Lepisosteus oculatus: one gene and its partner. The protein of the gene in region 2 interacts with the protein of the main gene of each other region in a biochemical or structural test. Links are inferred from orthologs where the notes say so. Each region holds a gene or a part of one and is shown on either strand. Other genes may lie near its edges.

The links. The genes of interacting proteins can lie anywhere in the genome.
Region 1: the proteins of tbp (region 2) and btaf1 form a complex in vitro, tested with the Homo sapiens proteins (2 studies listed by BioGRID). The link is inferred for Lepisosteus oculatus from reciprocal best matches to the Homo sapiens genes TBP and BTAF1.

The regions. Positions count from the first base shown.
Region 1 is NC_090699.1:23,923,989-23,932,007, forward strand, and holds the start of btaf1 (TATA-binding protein-associated factor 172), read right to left. Parts: upstream 3,069-8,019; 5' UTR 2,684-3,068; coding exon 2,670-2,683; intron 680-2,669; coding exon 556-679; intron 275-555; coding exon 160-274; intron 1-159. Other genes in the region: protein CC2D2B, read left to right, coding at 5,159-5,173, 7,424-7,562, 7,943-8,019. UniProt on the Homo sapiens protein: Regulates transcription in association with TATA binding protein (TBP). Removes TBP from the TATA box in an ATP-dependent manner.
Region 2 is NC_090712.1:2,370,431-2,378,342, forward strand, and holds the start of tbp (TATA-box-binding protein), read right to left. Parts: upstream 3,105-7,912; 5' UTR 3,010-3,104; intron 2,447-3,009; exon of another isoform or gene 2,344-2,446; intron 175-2,343; 5' UTR 43-174; coding exon 1-42. Other genes in the region: psmb1 (proteasome subunit beta type-1), read right to left, coding at 6,408-6,593, 7,141-7,247. UniProt on the Homo sapiens protein: The TFIID basal transcription factor complex plays a major role in the initiation of RNA polymerase II (Pol II)-dependent transcription.

The sequences.
Region 1 (8,019 bases), on a different chromosome or scaffold from region 2:
ACAAAAACCCTCTAATCTACTCCATTTCATGTCTTCCTCACAAATACACTTCGCTAAACACCAATTTACCTGCCTGTTACAAAACTCAACACTGGCACATACTGAGCAGGACTCCTGAGCAGTCAGTAAGAGAAGACAAGTGATAGATGCACATTATACCTTCCTTGGGCTTCGCAGGTGGATTCCACTCAGGCACATTTTTCACAATGGCTTCTACCGCTTGGCCTGCTGCGATGCGTGTGTCCCAGTTAGGACTTCGTAAATACGTTAAAACCTTCAGAGTTCACAAAAGATAAATGCATTATATGATACGGGGTCACAGAAAACTATTTACATTGGTTTTTAAAAACAGGAGAAAAAATGCTTCAAGTCCCAGTGCTTGAGCTATTTATAGACTGGTACTCAAATGGGACTTTTGAGTTAAATTAACTGCTACAAGGCTGGAGGCTCACATCAGCCATAAAGTCATACTCCTGAGTGCAGTGCAGTCAAAAACGAACCTTCACTTGATTTTCCTGTGATCAGGAACTACATGCAGTAGGTCACCAGACTTACTTTAGATAAGAGGTTATTCAGCTCGTGTGGGTGAAGCTTCACCACATCTCCCAGCTGCTGTGCCGCTGCTTTCCTTGTCACTGGGGTCGTCCCAGTGTCCAACAAAATGAACAGACGGTCAAGCCTGAAAGCAAAAGCAACAGCAAAAGATGTGGGCATTAGTGCACATTCTCATCAGGAATTGCTTGCATACTTCCAAGAAAACCTGAATTCATGAAGATCTCGTCAACATTAAGGAATCATAATCTATTCTAATAAGACACTACTACAGATGCTACGTTCTGGAATGTTACAGTATGTTTTTGCAACATTCATTTGTTTAACAAAAGATATTTCTTTTGTAATCAACATGCTAAGCCAGCAAAATGCACTGTAGCTCTTTAAAGGTGGCATGGAGAAAGTAAATTCTGCCTTCTTTTATTTGCATGTTACCAAAAATATGAGGATTATCAGTACTGCCTTTAAACAAAACTAAAATGCTAGAAACGTATTCAGTATCTTCAGTGGGTGAAAAAATGACAAAGAGAAATTAATTTGCTCATGCATTTATAGCTGATAACTTGCAGGCTAGCGGTAGTACTGTCACCACCTGATAACGACAGTTTCTGCCAGACCTCTCAATGCCAGTCAACTTCGTTTCACGAGTATTACCGACATGATAACTAGAGACAACACTTAACATTTTATTCATGGTTGCCATTATTTCAGTTTGCCATAACTTAGAAAACTGCCACAAGGCTAAATATTTTTGGTCTTCCCAAGGACTTCAGCACAAAGTAGATAATCAATGAGCAAAGTTTTAACATCGCACATAAAATTAATGCGCACTTTTAAAACCATCCGGTGACACCAGGAAATGCTTTGATAAACAAGATACTATATACAAAAGAATCTTTAATCACTAGGCAGTCCTTTTATTATTAGAATTTTTTGCAGCTCCTTTTGTTACCTGCAATTTCACCACACCTAAAATGCCGCATGTCTGTTTTATTCTGTGTAACGGACCGGATTGATACAGTGTATTTCACTAACTTAAAGCACGTTTTTAAAATATATCCCCATACAACCAACCCGTACAAATGGGGGAAAAAAAAACTTTCTGAATCAACCATCCACTGTGCCAAGTACACAATAAGCGAATAATGAAAATGAAAAACATAATAAAAGAAAACATCTAGCGCAGAAATACAAACAATTCCCCACATTGGACTAAAAAAAAGTTACTGTCAAACAGAAGCATTTACTGTACATTTAAATTAAAAGTTAGATACTATTTCATTTCCGTATTCGTCTCAGGGGTAGAGAACCTAGGATATAAATAGGTCATGAACGCCTTAATTTTCCTTTAAATCGAAATATCGCTTCGTTCATAAAGATATAAACTCGTTCTTTCAAATGTGAAATTGTGGTTTATTAATCAGCGCAAAAAATATAATGACTGACATTTGTTAAGAACGTGTTACACGATCTCCCCCCCCTCTTATTCAGCATGTACTGTGTGCAGCTTTGAGCCACAGCCACGCATGGGGTTTCTGTGCAGCCAGTAGAGCAACAGGCATTATCATCTGCTTTGGACTGGAGATTTACGTATATAAATAGCAAAGATTAAGATTTATGTTCGGACAATATCGCATGTGTCCCTCTACAGACACTTTTAACTGCAACATTGATAATGATAATTAAGCGCTCCCATTTGACTTCTTGATTTGACAAACGAAATCAGCGACCTATCATTTCCTGTGATCTCCTAAACTCCATAATTAATACTATGCATGGTCTAGTGAATAAACACTTTATCTGTAACACTAGCAAACACCCGCTGTGTAACGCAAATTGTGTAATTTATAGCAAAGCAGCTAATTTGAAGGCAAAAGAAAACATATATGGTGTTTTCATTGTCTACAGCGATTGGCTGACTACAGATGTAACACAACCTATAAAAGGGGTATGTTTATAGGCTTTAAAGCGTCTGAAACTGCCCTTGTCCTACCGGCGTTTAATTACTCACAATAAAATCGAAATTACTGTACTTGTAACAAGACTGGAGTCGAGCTGGGCCTGACGACAAGAGCATTCTATTGTTACTCAATTTATAAAATGTAAAACAATCCCACCTTGATACGGCCATGTTGGTGAATTAAGAGCAAAGCTGTAATCTTGCGTGGTCTGTCTACCCACAAAAATAAACCATCTATTTCCTATTGCCTTGGTTTTCTAATCTCAAAAGATCCGGTGGCTTCGGAGAGGCCCAGCTCTTTCGCTCACCATCCAAAGCCAGACTGACGAAAGGGTGCTTTTAATTCATAGCTTCATAAAAGCTCCCCCGTTTAACCAGATTGCCTCGCACTATAACGTAACGCCTTACAATACATTTATATTAGTCTTAAAGCTTAGATTATCCCGCTGAACTGCATCCGGAAAGGTATTTTATTCGAATAAGGAATAAACAATAATTTTGTTGTTCACTAAAGAGAACCCAGGAGTCTGGTTTTATATGAGGAGCCATCTTGCATTTATTCCTTCCTCCATGGTAGCCGGAGCGTGATTGGTTACATGAACTACGGATGGCCAATCACAGGGCACGTTTTACAGGTAAGCGAGTAGCAGGAAGAGACCAGGGCAGGAAACCGAAAGAAATAAACCCCGCCTCTGTCAACTCTGACCCCACCCTCTCAGTTACACATCATGCCGGGGGCGTGTTTTCTAGTGGAAGGAATAGCGGACAAGGAGACCAGCTTGGCATTAATTTCTCAGCTTTTTATGAAGTTTTTATTTTTTGTTTTGGTTGCTTATATCTAATCTTACACACAATTACGGGTACCTATAAACTTCATACTAATGAAATACTGTGAGTTCAAGAAAATAATTCAGAACATAAAAGTGAACTTTAGTTTGCCTTCCCTTCACTGCTCTTTACACTGTTAGTGGTGCATTCAGTGATTAAAAAAAGTATTGTTTAATCACATGACTATTCTTTGTGTTTTTTCCAAGAGCCCTTTAGACTAGTTTCATAATGTTTTCTACGTCCCTTCAGATCATATCGCAGTTACAACACTTAGAAATACCATGTCACATCGCGCACTCCAGCTTCTTGTAGAATTAACTGTTTTCAGCCAGGAACCCAGCACTGTATTGTTGTTAACAAATGCAGATCAGGTCCTTGATGCAACAGATTGCAACCCAAAAGATTGCATTACTAACAAATACGACCTGCATCGCCAGTAAATTACTGAATCGCCAATAACAGACCTTTGTTATTGATAAAAGTCCCAATGACTTTATATATATGGAAGCAATAACTTACATAATCTATATAAACGCCCAGGCTCAATGAGGGCATATTACATTGGTTTATCATTACTGTATTTATATAATTATGTAATATGTTCATTTTGATGCATTATAGATTTATTAATTCTTCCCGTTGTTTCGTTATGATGACAAATGGTCAGTTCAAATCAAATTCATACGAAGCTGTTGTGATATTACTTGAATTACAGCTTACTAGAGGGATAGGTATTTCTGTAAAACCATGCATCTTTATCTCTGTTAATGTTTTTCTTGTTAGCAAAATTCCTGACATGTACCCCCATGAAATTATTATCTGGCCCCGTGCATATACAATACCTTAAGCAGCTCAAATTCACCGAATAAAAGTATTTCGTATTCCTATTGAAATACAGTAATTCCCTTAAACATTTATTATGCTCCTTCAAACTGTTTGGAACTAAATATGACCTTAAAATGATCTTACTAAACTACGTGGCAACTACAATAATAACGTTATTCTGTAATTCGTTGGAAACGAACCCTCTCGTGCATTATTTGAATCAGATATTAGCTGGAAAATGTGCTACTCAATAACTTTCCTTTCTCAGCACTGAAATAATTAACTCAGAGTAAGTATAACATATTTTTTTATTTCTTTTCAGTGTACTGTTGGTCAATCCATGTAATAAAATACAATACGAATTGTTTTTATTTTCATATACACCATCAGGGGGCAGTCGAGTTTGATTTTTATATACCACATTCTATCACGCTTCTGTAGTTTCTCACAAAAATGTTATGACGAAAACGAAGTTTTCCCCGTTTCAGTTGCCATGCAGACTAAAATGGGAAAGTTGCCTTTAATAACAAATTGCTGATATTTTACAGCTCATATAACATGGATTAGAAGAATAGGTTGTGAAATGGACAGATGGAAAAATGATATAATCAAAAGTACCCAGAAGAAGGCCTTACATGAACGTATTAATAAAATATTGACAGTTAATTGTGGTTTTCACATACAGTCAATGTATTCACATTAAGTCCTTTACTTCCAAAAAATTCATTATTTGTAAAACATAATTCTGAATATTAAAAAAAGTTTCTGCTCAAATGGAGATTCATTTTTCACTCAGGAAAATTTATATTGAAATAGTAAATAAATCTTGGCGTAGTAGTTGTAATGAGTGTCAACTTAAATCTGTTCATTGAAAGGGATATTTATATGTATTCTACTTTATTAAATTTATGTTGTGTTGTATTCTTTAGATATACATGACGCTTCCCTTAGACAAAGATAAAGGCAGCCTTGAGACACAGACCAAGAGTTAAAATGGAGGGTAAAAATGTAAGTCAACTTCTGAATATTGTTTGAATAATTTTAGCATAAGAGTGGCTGAAGAATAATAAAGTCTAGAAATGCTTTTATCAATCACAAAGATTGCACTCAAAGAAATAAGGATTGTTATTCATAAACCACTAGCTGGCATCGTCCAGTAGACATTTAAGACAGGTTCCTCTCCATTCTTTGAAAAGAATGATACATCCATTTATCATTCTAGGAGATAGCATGACTTTTGGAAAAGTCTTTTTAATTAACTTGTAACCTGTTAATTGTTAAAGTGTAAGCATCAGTAATAAATACAAAAAATAATAAATACAATATTTGACATGATATACTGTATTTAGATTTCCAGAAAATATTTTGTAAAGCTTCAAATGAAAGATTAACTCATAAACTAAGATGTAAAATAAAAAGTGTTTATGAGAACCGAGTACAAGCAAGAACTAGAATTATTACAGACTTAATATTTAAATAAAAAGAAGGCTCAGAGTAAAAAATGGCACACAAATTCTTAACACAGGAGAATGGAATTGTCTTCAAAGGTTATGCAAATTTGATTACATTATGGTAATAAATAACACTTAGATCTACTAAATTTAAATCTGAATCTGAGCTACTGAATCTCTATTTCCAGTTTTAAGTTTAACCAGATGTCAGAACTGACTTGATTCCAGTTAAATCTTCTGTGAAGACAAGCAACTCTGTGTCAGATGGGTCTAAAATACATAGAGTCTCATTAGCAAAGAATGAAAGCTGAGTTTGTATTTAATTGATGTCACCAAGTGGTGATATGTACAACCAACTGCCAGGGTCCCTAGATAGAGCCCTGGGGAACACCAAAATGATCAGCTCTCATTGCAAAGCTAGTTTTATCTAGAGAGATATGGCCTAGTGAAACTTTTGAGAGAGATAGGAATGACTGTAGTGAAAGAAGAATGCTATGGAATATCTGGTGCTCAACATGATTTTACTTTGTGCTTATCAAAACAAATAATGGAAGCAATTAAAAGGGCCATTAGTATGCTTAGATTGTTAATCCGTGGACATGCAGAACAGTGCCGTGTTTATCTGTCAAGGCAAAATGCAAGCCTAGAACTCTATGAGTCTCTAGAAGTTCTCAGAATGCTGAGATAGCAGTGCAACACAGAAGACAGACTGGAGAAGTGTATCAGGCAGGCTAGAATATCTGAGAGAAGATGAGAGGTGGCAAAGGAACAACACTGTAGAGAAGCAGAGCAGAGGCTGCCTCAAGAAGCAGGCAGCACTTTCAGATGGTAGGCAGCAGGGTAGCTGAGTGAAGGATTCCTGAAGAAGCAGGTAGTCTTAGCAGAAAATAAACCAAGACTGGATACACCCCTGGTGTAAAGCATGTTATTTAAATCATGGGATGCTATCTTAAGATCATACAATGCACCAGCAACATCTTCTTTAGCATGTTGCTTTCAAGTTTGGTCTCAATATGTAAAAAAAAAAGTTACCTTGGATATTGTTTGAAGAAAAATTTATATTTCCAAAGAAATGTCATTCACGACAGTTTGAGATGACATAAACATGTTAGGTCTTAAATAGAATGGACTACACATATCGTAAAGATAAAAAAATATTAGAATGAAGATTTCTCACTGCCTCATTTGGCTCTATGTAAAAAAATGCATTGCATTAAATATTTCACTGAAGTTTTAATTTTAAAATATTTTAATGAATGAAAATGTTTATATTGTTAATTTCCCTTGTAATCACAGATAACTATCCCTGTAATTAATGTCAATATAACATACTTTAAAATTAGGATTTAAACCAATCGTTACTTTCTTTTTCATTCTCAGTCATTACTTTAAGAAATGAAGATTATTTTTTCTTTTCCTGTAATTTTGATGAGATTTCACATGGATTCCCAGCTGTTGGCCTTTCTTCATTATTAGTTAGTATGTTCAGTTTAAAATCCTAACCTTTTAGTGCTGCTTAATTATTATTGCATATTTCACAGTGCCATTAAGTCAATCTTGATTTCTGATGCCACAAACAGTATTTTTTAAAGTGTAATGTAGTCAATGCCTGTTATTGATGCCTTTTTACTATTTAGGCACACATCATTTCAAATGACAGAATTAATTTTATTATGATGCTTTAAATTAAATTAAGTCAGTTCTGACATCTGGTTAAATGTAATTGTTGTAAATGTAATCAGTCAATCAATGAATTCATATGCTTGACAATTAATACAAAGTCATCAATGCTATATTTTTTACAAAGATAAGAACTCACCACAAGATATCAGAAGACTCAATTCCCTTTGTTGAGAAGGATGATCTTCATGAGTTCCTGTTGCCTATCCAAATGGCAGATGATACAGCTGGTCTGTCCTGTGTCTTTGTGCCTAGTGATTCACCTGGTACGATATTGAAAAGATTTTTATTTTTGGCGAATCATGTTAAATCATTAGATTTGTTGATTGTAACTGTAACTCGGTATAACACTGTTGGAAAATGTTTTTTGGCTTGATAGGATTTTGTACATTGTAGCATATGACTAGATTTAAAAAATGCTTGACATGCCAATTGGAAGGCTAAAAATATCATAATGTATGTTGATAAGAAATTCTAATGTAAAAATGAAAAAAGCGATACCTTATATACAGTACTCACCTGTCTCTGAAAAACAGATGTCTGGAGAATATAGTATTTTTTGTTAAAAACTGAATTTAGATAGTGAAATAACTATTCATTTATCGAATAATATTTGTGTGAAAAAAACATATCAGACGGTGTTTAGTTAGTTGCAGTGCAAAATTACCAGCAAAGATGAACAAACGTGTTCTGGAGGAGGAAGGACTGTATGTCCGTGAAAGA
Region 2 (7,912 bases):
CAGGCCTTGTGCATATGGGGGCAAGCTGTTGTTCTGTTCCATTCTCTCCCGAGCCAAGCGTCACCAGAGAAACACCTCTGAAGGGCTTCTTCCACCTTTTGTCCGCAACTAAACTAACTGCAGCCAACACCAGTCATTCAGTTGAGACGTCCTGACAAAGGGCCTCTTCGAAACCTGAAATAAGAGGAAACAAAATACATCGCACGATGTTCCAAACAGAGAAGGACAAGTTCTAACAATGCACCTCTTAGTTACGGAAAGTAAAAGATGTAAGATTTTTTGGATGAGACAACTTCCAAAGAAATGTTTTATCTTGACACGTTGGCCATTGTATGAGTGAGATACATTAAGCATTTTAACACAACTGGTGCAGTACAGAGAAGTGGTTCTCAGCTCGTGACTGGGGGGAGGTCTGTCTCTTCTGGTGTTTGCTCCACTTGCTATCTTAATCAGGCAAAGTGGTCCCTTCAATTGATTTTCCAGCTTGATTTGACCATTAAATAGCTTGTCCACATAATTCTGTACTCAGATTTTGTTTTAGAAAATACTGCCAAGAAATCTCCATTCAGTATCTCCTCAACATGCTTAATTAAGTGGTTCTGGCATTTTTGTGTCTAAACAGTTCTCACGAAGTAATACATTATTTAGGTACAGGTACATGTGAGAACACTTTATCAAACCCTCCAACCAATAAAGGCCATTTTGTGTTCTCCAAAGACCCAATTACATACAATCCATACACCTGAATGAGTGCAGAAAAGGTTTTGGGGTCCATGTGCATCAACAACTCCGTAAATGCTCTTATGAAATTAACAGAATATCTTAATCAGCTACAGCTCTATCTGCCTAGATAATCACAATGTCATCCTGAAAGAAAACCAGAAAGACCTGGAGGTCCTCCAGGTTCTGATGTGTACAGCACTAGTGTACAATGATTTGTGCATTAGATTAACCTAGAAGCCATGTCACTCTGCAACTCACAACTGGCAGCCCACTGGAGCTCAGCAGGTGTGAGCCTGGCCAGTACCTGGATGGGAGACCTCCTGGGAAAAACTAAGGTTGCTGCTGGAAGAGGTGTTAGTGGGGCCGGCAGGGGGCGCTCACCCTGCGGTCCATGTGGATCCTAATGCCCCAGTATAGTGAGGGGGACACTATACTGTAAACAGGCGCCGTCCTTCGGATGAAAACCGAGGTTCTGACTCTTTGCGGTCATTAAAAATCCCAGGGCGTTTCTCGAAGAGAGTAGGCGTGTAACCCCTGGCCAAATTTCCTATTGGCCCTTACCAATCATGGCCTCCTAATAATAATCTCCATCTATGAATTGGCTTCATCACTCTGCTCTCCTCCCCACTGAGAGCTGGTGTGTGGTGAGCGTTCTGGCGCACTATGGCTGCCGTCACATCATCCAGGTGGGGCTGCACACTGGTGGTGGTGGAGGGGATCCCCCATTACCTGTAAAGCGCTTTGAGTGGAGTGTCCAGAAAAGCTCTATATAAGTGTAAGCAATTATTATTACTACGATGGTTACAATGGTATGTTCTCCCTGTATTCACATTGGCTTTCTTCCCACAGTACAAATGCTGGTGGGTTAATTGGCTTCTTGGAAAATTGGCCCAGGTGCGAGTGTGTGCGTTTGTGTCTGTCTGTGCCCTGTGATGGACTGGTGTCCCATCCAGGGTGTACCCCGTCATACACCTGTTTCTGGGCAGGATAGGCTCTGGCTCCCCCCTGACCCCAAACTGGAAGAGGCAGTTTAGGAAATGGGTAGATGGATTTGTTTACATCCCCAAGCACTAAATTATAAAAGGTCATTATTTTCTTATTTTTTTAGTCATCCTGGACAAAAACCAGGATGTTACTTAAGGCTTTTTACAGTTGATGACTCAACACACTCAGTACATTAAGGTAATGTACTATACAGGGTATAGTCACACATTACACCAAGCTACAGGTATTACACCTATGCAGTTAAATAATTAGGCCTTTGATGTAACTGACAGCTCAGGCTGGAACCCCTGATGGTTAAACATCTCAGTTAAATGTCCCATCAGAAGGATATATGGCACTGCCTGAGTTTTTTTATACTGGTCTTGGGGACCCACCGTGTCTGCCGATCTTCATTCCATTTGATAACACTCTTCAATGAACTCGACTAATAATTGTCTTGCTTAGTCCTCTAATAAATAGTTTGCAGCTTTGACAGCAGAAGACCGAGCCGGGCAGAGCGCAGTTCAACGACAACGCGAAGCAACGAGACCCAGCCCTCCACCAAAACACGGTCCTGACAGCAGTGTCGAAATGTTGGCACCAAAGCCAGTTCTTACTTAACTCTTACTTACCCACCTGCTAAATCGGAGACACTAATGCAACTAGGTTTTCCAGCACCCAGGTTCTGGAGCTGATGTAGACATTGCAGAAGGACATTACAGCAGTGTTGGACCAGCGCATATTAACAGATTTATTCATCGAGAAACCTCTCTTCGCCACCGCTGTAGTATCGCCTTTGTGTCGTAGTTGACGAAGTGCAAAACCATGCACCTTAAGTAACCATGCCAGTTAGTCTTTAAATCATGGGTTTAAATGATTTTAAATCAGAGCCGTTACTTTCCTAGTATGGGGCACTGCAGATATGCGAGATAAAGAACAAATGCACTATAAAACAACGCTCAGTGCATAATTATCTATAAATAAAAAAGCGAGTTAAAAATTATAGCTGACCGCAACAAACATACAATCTTCGCGAGCACGTATCTTTTACGTTTGAAGGCGTAAAATTCATTTTAGGGCTGTTTATAAATGACTTGGCAGTTATACCCAAATACATTTTAAACAAATTAATTGCAAAATAATCCCGCTCACACACATACAATTTCCTTCTGGTACCCGACGGCCCCGACGTGTAGCGAGACATTCCTTCGCAAAATAAACACACCCTCGCTATCTAGGCTCATTACTGTCTCCCAAACACAGAAAATAAACGGTTAGCCCCTTCGTCCCGTTTCCCCTCACCTTTTTACGCCTCTGTCTCTGCAGCAGCTCTTGTTTTTTCGACCGCTCACTACCGCAAAAAAAACCCTCCTTCTCTCCCAGCAAACTGCGCGCAAACTTCCTGTAGCGCCGAGTTGTCCTTCCGGAACAGCCGTGCAAAACTAAAAATGTGATGGTGGTCGCTATATGTGAACAGGGTTTAAGAGTAATTGCCTAGGTGTTTTAAAATACAGGAGACATAACAAGTCTGGTGGTCATTTGTTTTTCAGATAATTGGTCTTAAATATAATTTTTTTAATCCTTTTTTTTAAATCCTTATGAGTTTCAATCAGTATGTCAAAGAGTGTGATTCTGTACATGATTTCATATACAGACGTCTCTCGTGTGTTTATAAAATTTTGAGGTCAACTAAATACAGCTTTCTACTAGGACACAGCAGGGTATGGGCCGACAGTTTTATACTGGAAGGAGTGCCTTAGTTATTATTGATTTATCTAAAGCAAAACTTGAGTGTTTAGTACTTGGAATTATATCAGTCGTGTATATACGTAATAATACGGTAAATAACCATTTTTAAATTGTGTGCAGAACATTTGGATTTCGCTAATCTAAAGCATACGGATAAACAGGATTTTGTGATTTGTGCTTTGGGCACTAATTTTAATGCGGCGCTCATTGGAAGCAGGGCGATCCTTCTCGTTGTTTTCTGTGTCATCGGGTGCGCAGGCAGAAACTGGGTCGTGCAGGGAAATGAGTGTTGAATTCAATTATTGATGTAAAGATGGGTGTAAAAATGGTGTTTGCGATATGGTGTAACAATCTGAACGAAATCCTAAATACGAGACGGGCACACACAATCGTTTGTAGCGAGAGAGTCTTATTGAAAATGTCACATGAGGCTGCAGTGTGGTTCACTGTGCAAGACGAGGTGGACAGAGTGGTCAGCCGGAGTATCCCCAGGTCCGGGCTAGACACCTTCGACAATGAATTTTTTTTCGACCACTTCCATTTCTCTACTCCCACACCCCCCCTTATCCACGTCTCCGTTGTCTCTGTGGGCTGCGTGCGGGACAGCCCTGCTCGCGGCTCTGAGCTCCTGTGCAAACGGGTCCCTGCAGACACATGGCGGAGGTTGCGGGGACGCCCCAGTCCTCCGTCAGCCCAGCCGCGACCACAGTTTCCCCAGTCTTGCCTGACAGGGCAGAGCAGCTCGGGTGTCGCCTAGAGCTGGGCTGCACTCAAGTGCGCACCACAGCGCCCGTAGAAAGAGAGTTCGTTTTCATGAGTACAAACACCTACCGGTCCATCAGTCCAGATGGTTTGCGACTCGCACAGTAATTTACTCAGTGTTGCAACTTTTTGGGAACCGTCCTCCATAAGCAAAGAGTTCCAGGCTGGCATTTGTGGAGATGATGGATGGCTTGCTGGTGTTGATTGAGTGGCAAGGTTGATCCACTCATTCGTCCGAAAGGAAGTCAACATAACCAGTCTTGGACTTCTCTGAACATTTTAAAACAAAATCCCGATGAAGCCTTTCTGCATATCATCAGGAAAAACCAATTGAAAGACTGTTGTCAGAATAATTTTAACTACTCATTGCTATGTTTAGGGGTGAAGTCTCTGTGGTTTGGGGTACCCCACAGGCCCTAATGAACCTGAGTACTTTTTAAATTAAACCGAGTAGTTTTTGGGGGTACCCTCACGCCTTGGTTGACCCAAGGCTGGTTTTACAGGGTTGTGTGCTTTATTGTTTTGTCATGCTTGTCTTCTAGCTTTGTTTTCACTCTGTGCAGTAAATGTCTAGATTGCTTTTTATGATATTTGCCTTGGCTTACCTGCTGTTGGTTTAGGCCTAGGGTTTGCCTTTAAAAAGGATCCACTTGCCTGATTTACACCGATACATAATCACCTCTCCGATTAGCATCTCATTTGCTTTTAGACAGCAGAAGTTGCTTTTTGCAGAAGCACCTCCTCACCCGTGTCGGATCCAGCTGATCAGGCGGAAGGGCGATACAACAGAGCCCATGACAAGACCCATAGTTATCCAGAGGACATCTGGTGCCCTCAAACTGAGATTACGGGTGCAATCAGAAACAGACGCCCACCAGGGCCACTGAGATTATCAATGCCCGTGTAAGGGTTCTGGGGGTCTCCGCCCTTGCCCCTCCTGCCCTGCCAGTTCGTCTCTCATGAACCCTGGTCTCTGGTGTCATGCAACAGGGAGCTTGCCAGCTGAGCTGAAGGAGAACTCGGGTTAAACACAGGGGGGTATTCGTTACACCTGTTGCACGCTGCACAACATCGCCCGGAAGTTCTCTGTCGGGCTGCTGGAGGAGAGCCCACCCTGATCCAGACATGGCCCTTCCGAGACAGCAACTGATAAAAACTCATTTATACGAGGATTTAAGCAGTCCATCAGAACACTCCGGAGGGTTCTCAGAAAACTGTCTTTTTCCACGACTCAAGACCACTTTGCTCACTTTAAATTGCTAATGAGCTACAGAGCAGGGCTATTCAATTTGAGGCTCTCTTTTATTACAGATCCAGAATTATACTACAGCCCAACCCCCAACCCCTTATAATCTGTAAACCACACTTAATTCAAGACCCCTAATTACAAACCCAATACTTCAAGCAGTGTTTCTGTGGCCTTTGGATCCATGCAATTCTTTATGTGCATTTAAAGGACTTATGCAAATTCATGCTGCATATTAAAAATCACTCTTACAGTAATAATGTAATCACATGAATAATATAAATTCATTTACATTATTGAACAGCAGCAGTGGAGTCCTTGGTTCTAACTAAAGCAGGGGTGCCCAACTTCAATACTAGAGAGCCCATGTGTTTGCATTTTTCCAACTCCGCTCTTAGATTACATAATTTTATGGCTTAACTGTACCTCTTTAACTTTTCCCAACTTGTCAGCTGCTGCCGTATAGTGATGTCGAAAGCCTATCGACACTGACTGTCAGAACCTGCATTGGTTCCAGAAATAAAAATGTTCATTACTAAATAATCCGTATCGCATGGATAGTTTGGTTATTTCAAAATCAGGAACACGCACTCCAGATACAAAAATAATTATAGGGAAACTGCAGAGGTTTATTTAGATATCAATGATTGATTTTAGATCAATGGAGTTTTTAGAATGTGGAAAATTATAGTTTTAGCTAATGGAATAGAACATATGGATGTTTCAGCGCAAAATGACATGAAACATACCTGGCAAACTATTAAATTGGTTTACATTTTTGTTTAAAAACAAAGTTAGGGTCAGTTTAAATACAGAAAGGAGTACTTCCTTGTAATAGAAAATATACATACCATACCTCTTTATTTACTACACAAGATGACAGTGTAAAAAATTAATACACTTTCATTAAACATTTCTGAAGGAAAGTGGTACAAGTTTATTCTCAATCTTTTCGGAGTGGGACAGTCTCTTCCTTGATGCCCTCCTTGGTGACAATGCAGATTTTAAGAGCATCACCTGTGTACACATCTCTCTCAGCTGCTGAGATGAAGACATCCTTGACAAGCTGAACAGCCTTCTCCAAGGTCAGAGGCAAGTGCTCCACATTCTCCATGTTCTTGAAGCCAATCTAGAGAGGAGTAAAAGGCATTTAAAATCATACACCGCCATAAGGAAGCTGCCCTCTACTGAAGTCCAGTAAAAATCCTATACAGCAGTTGTCCTCAGTGCAATATTGTAATATATAAAAACAGTACATGACCATATGATCTGCTAGTTAAATGCCCATACAGTGAAGAACTGAAGGGAATTTGATAAACACTACCCTTAGACCCAAAAGATTCAGATTTGAAAACCATTTCATTCATCAAATGTATCAACTGCACAGAACAACAATGTCTGATTAAACAAAAATAATTTTGCATTCATAGTAACAAGTCTATTTTTTAATTATTATTTCTCTAAAAATTCAATTAAAGTTTCTTCCTTTTCCCAGCTGCAGTAAACATCATGAAGTCATATCAGAATTAGTTTAATGCCTGTAATATTGTTAAGAATATTGACTGAATCGAAGTTAATGCCCATGCAACACATGAGATCAAACTTCACATGGTCAACAATAAATCAGCCTTATGGGGAACAGAGTGCAAGAACACTGCTTTCCACAGGAACTGTACCTGGTTATCGAGGAGGGGCTGCAGCATGGCACTTGCTGAACCTCCAGCCTTGTAAGCATCTCTTTGATAAGAACCTACTGGATCAAAACTGTACACTGCTCCCTTACCTGGAAAAGTCACGTTCTTGTTAAGGTACACATTCTCAACGAAACAGCTTTTTAAATTTAAAATAAAAATGATTTTCCCCCATTTTCAACTGGTGGATTTAATCATTTGCAAATCTGAACACAATTTCAAATTGTGTCATTCCTTTCGCCACAGCATTAAAATCCTGCAGGAGAATGAGCTGCCACAGACATTTGGCTCCTGACTCAGATATTTCTGGGGAACAACACACAAGCCCCCTGTGACATTACTGCGCTGCTCCATACAAACAGGCCTAAATACAAGGCAGCAGATTAGACACCACAGTATAAAGAGATTCACTGGAGGTTTAAATACTAGATGTAATTTATAACATCACAAACCAAATTTATTCAAAATAAAAAGTCTTGAAAGATGTACCACTTGGTATTGCTATTGTTATTCAAGAGCCTGCAGTTCCTGAAAAAGACAGAAGCGCATGACACTAATATGTGCTGCTCTGTCAGTTTTACTATTCATCCATTTTCTGATCTCTGTATCCAAAACGGAGTTGCAGGGGAGCCAGAGTCTATCCCTGGTTAGCCATGGGCACAAGGCGGGGTACACCCTGGACAGGACACACTGACACAAACACAGACTCTCACACAAAGGCCTTGCCCGCCCATATGTATTTGCGGAGCACCCAGAG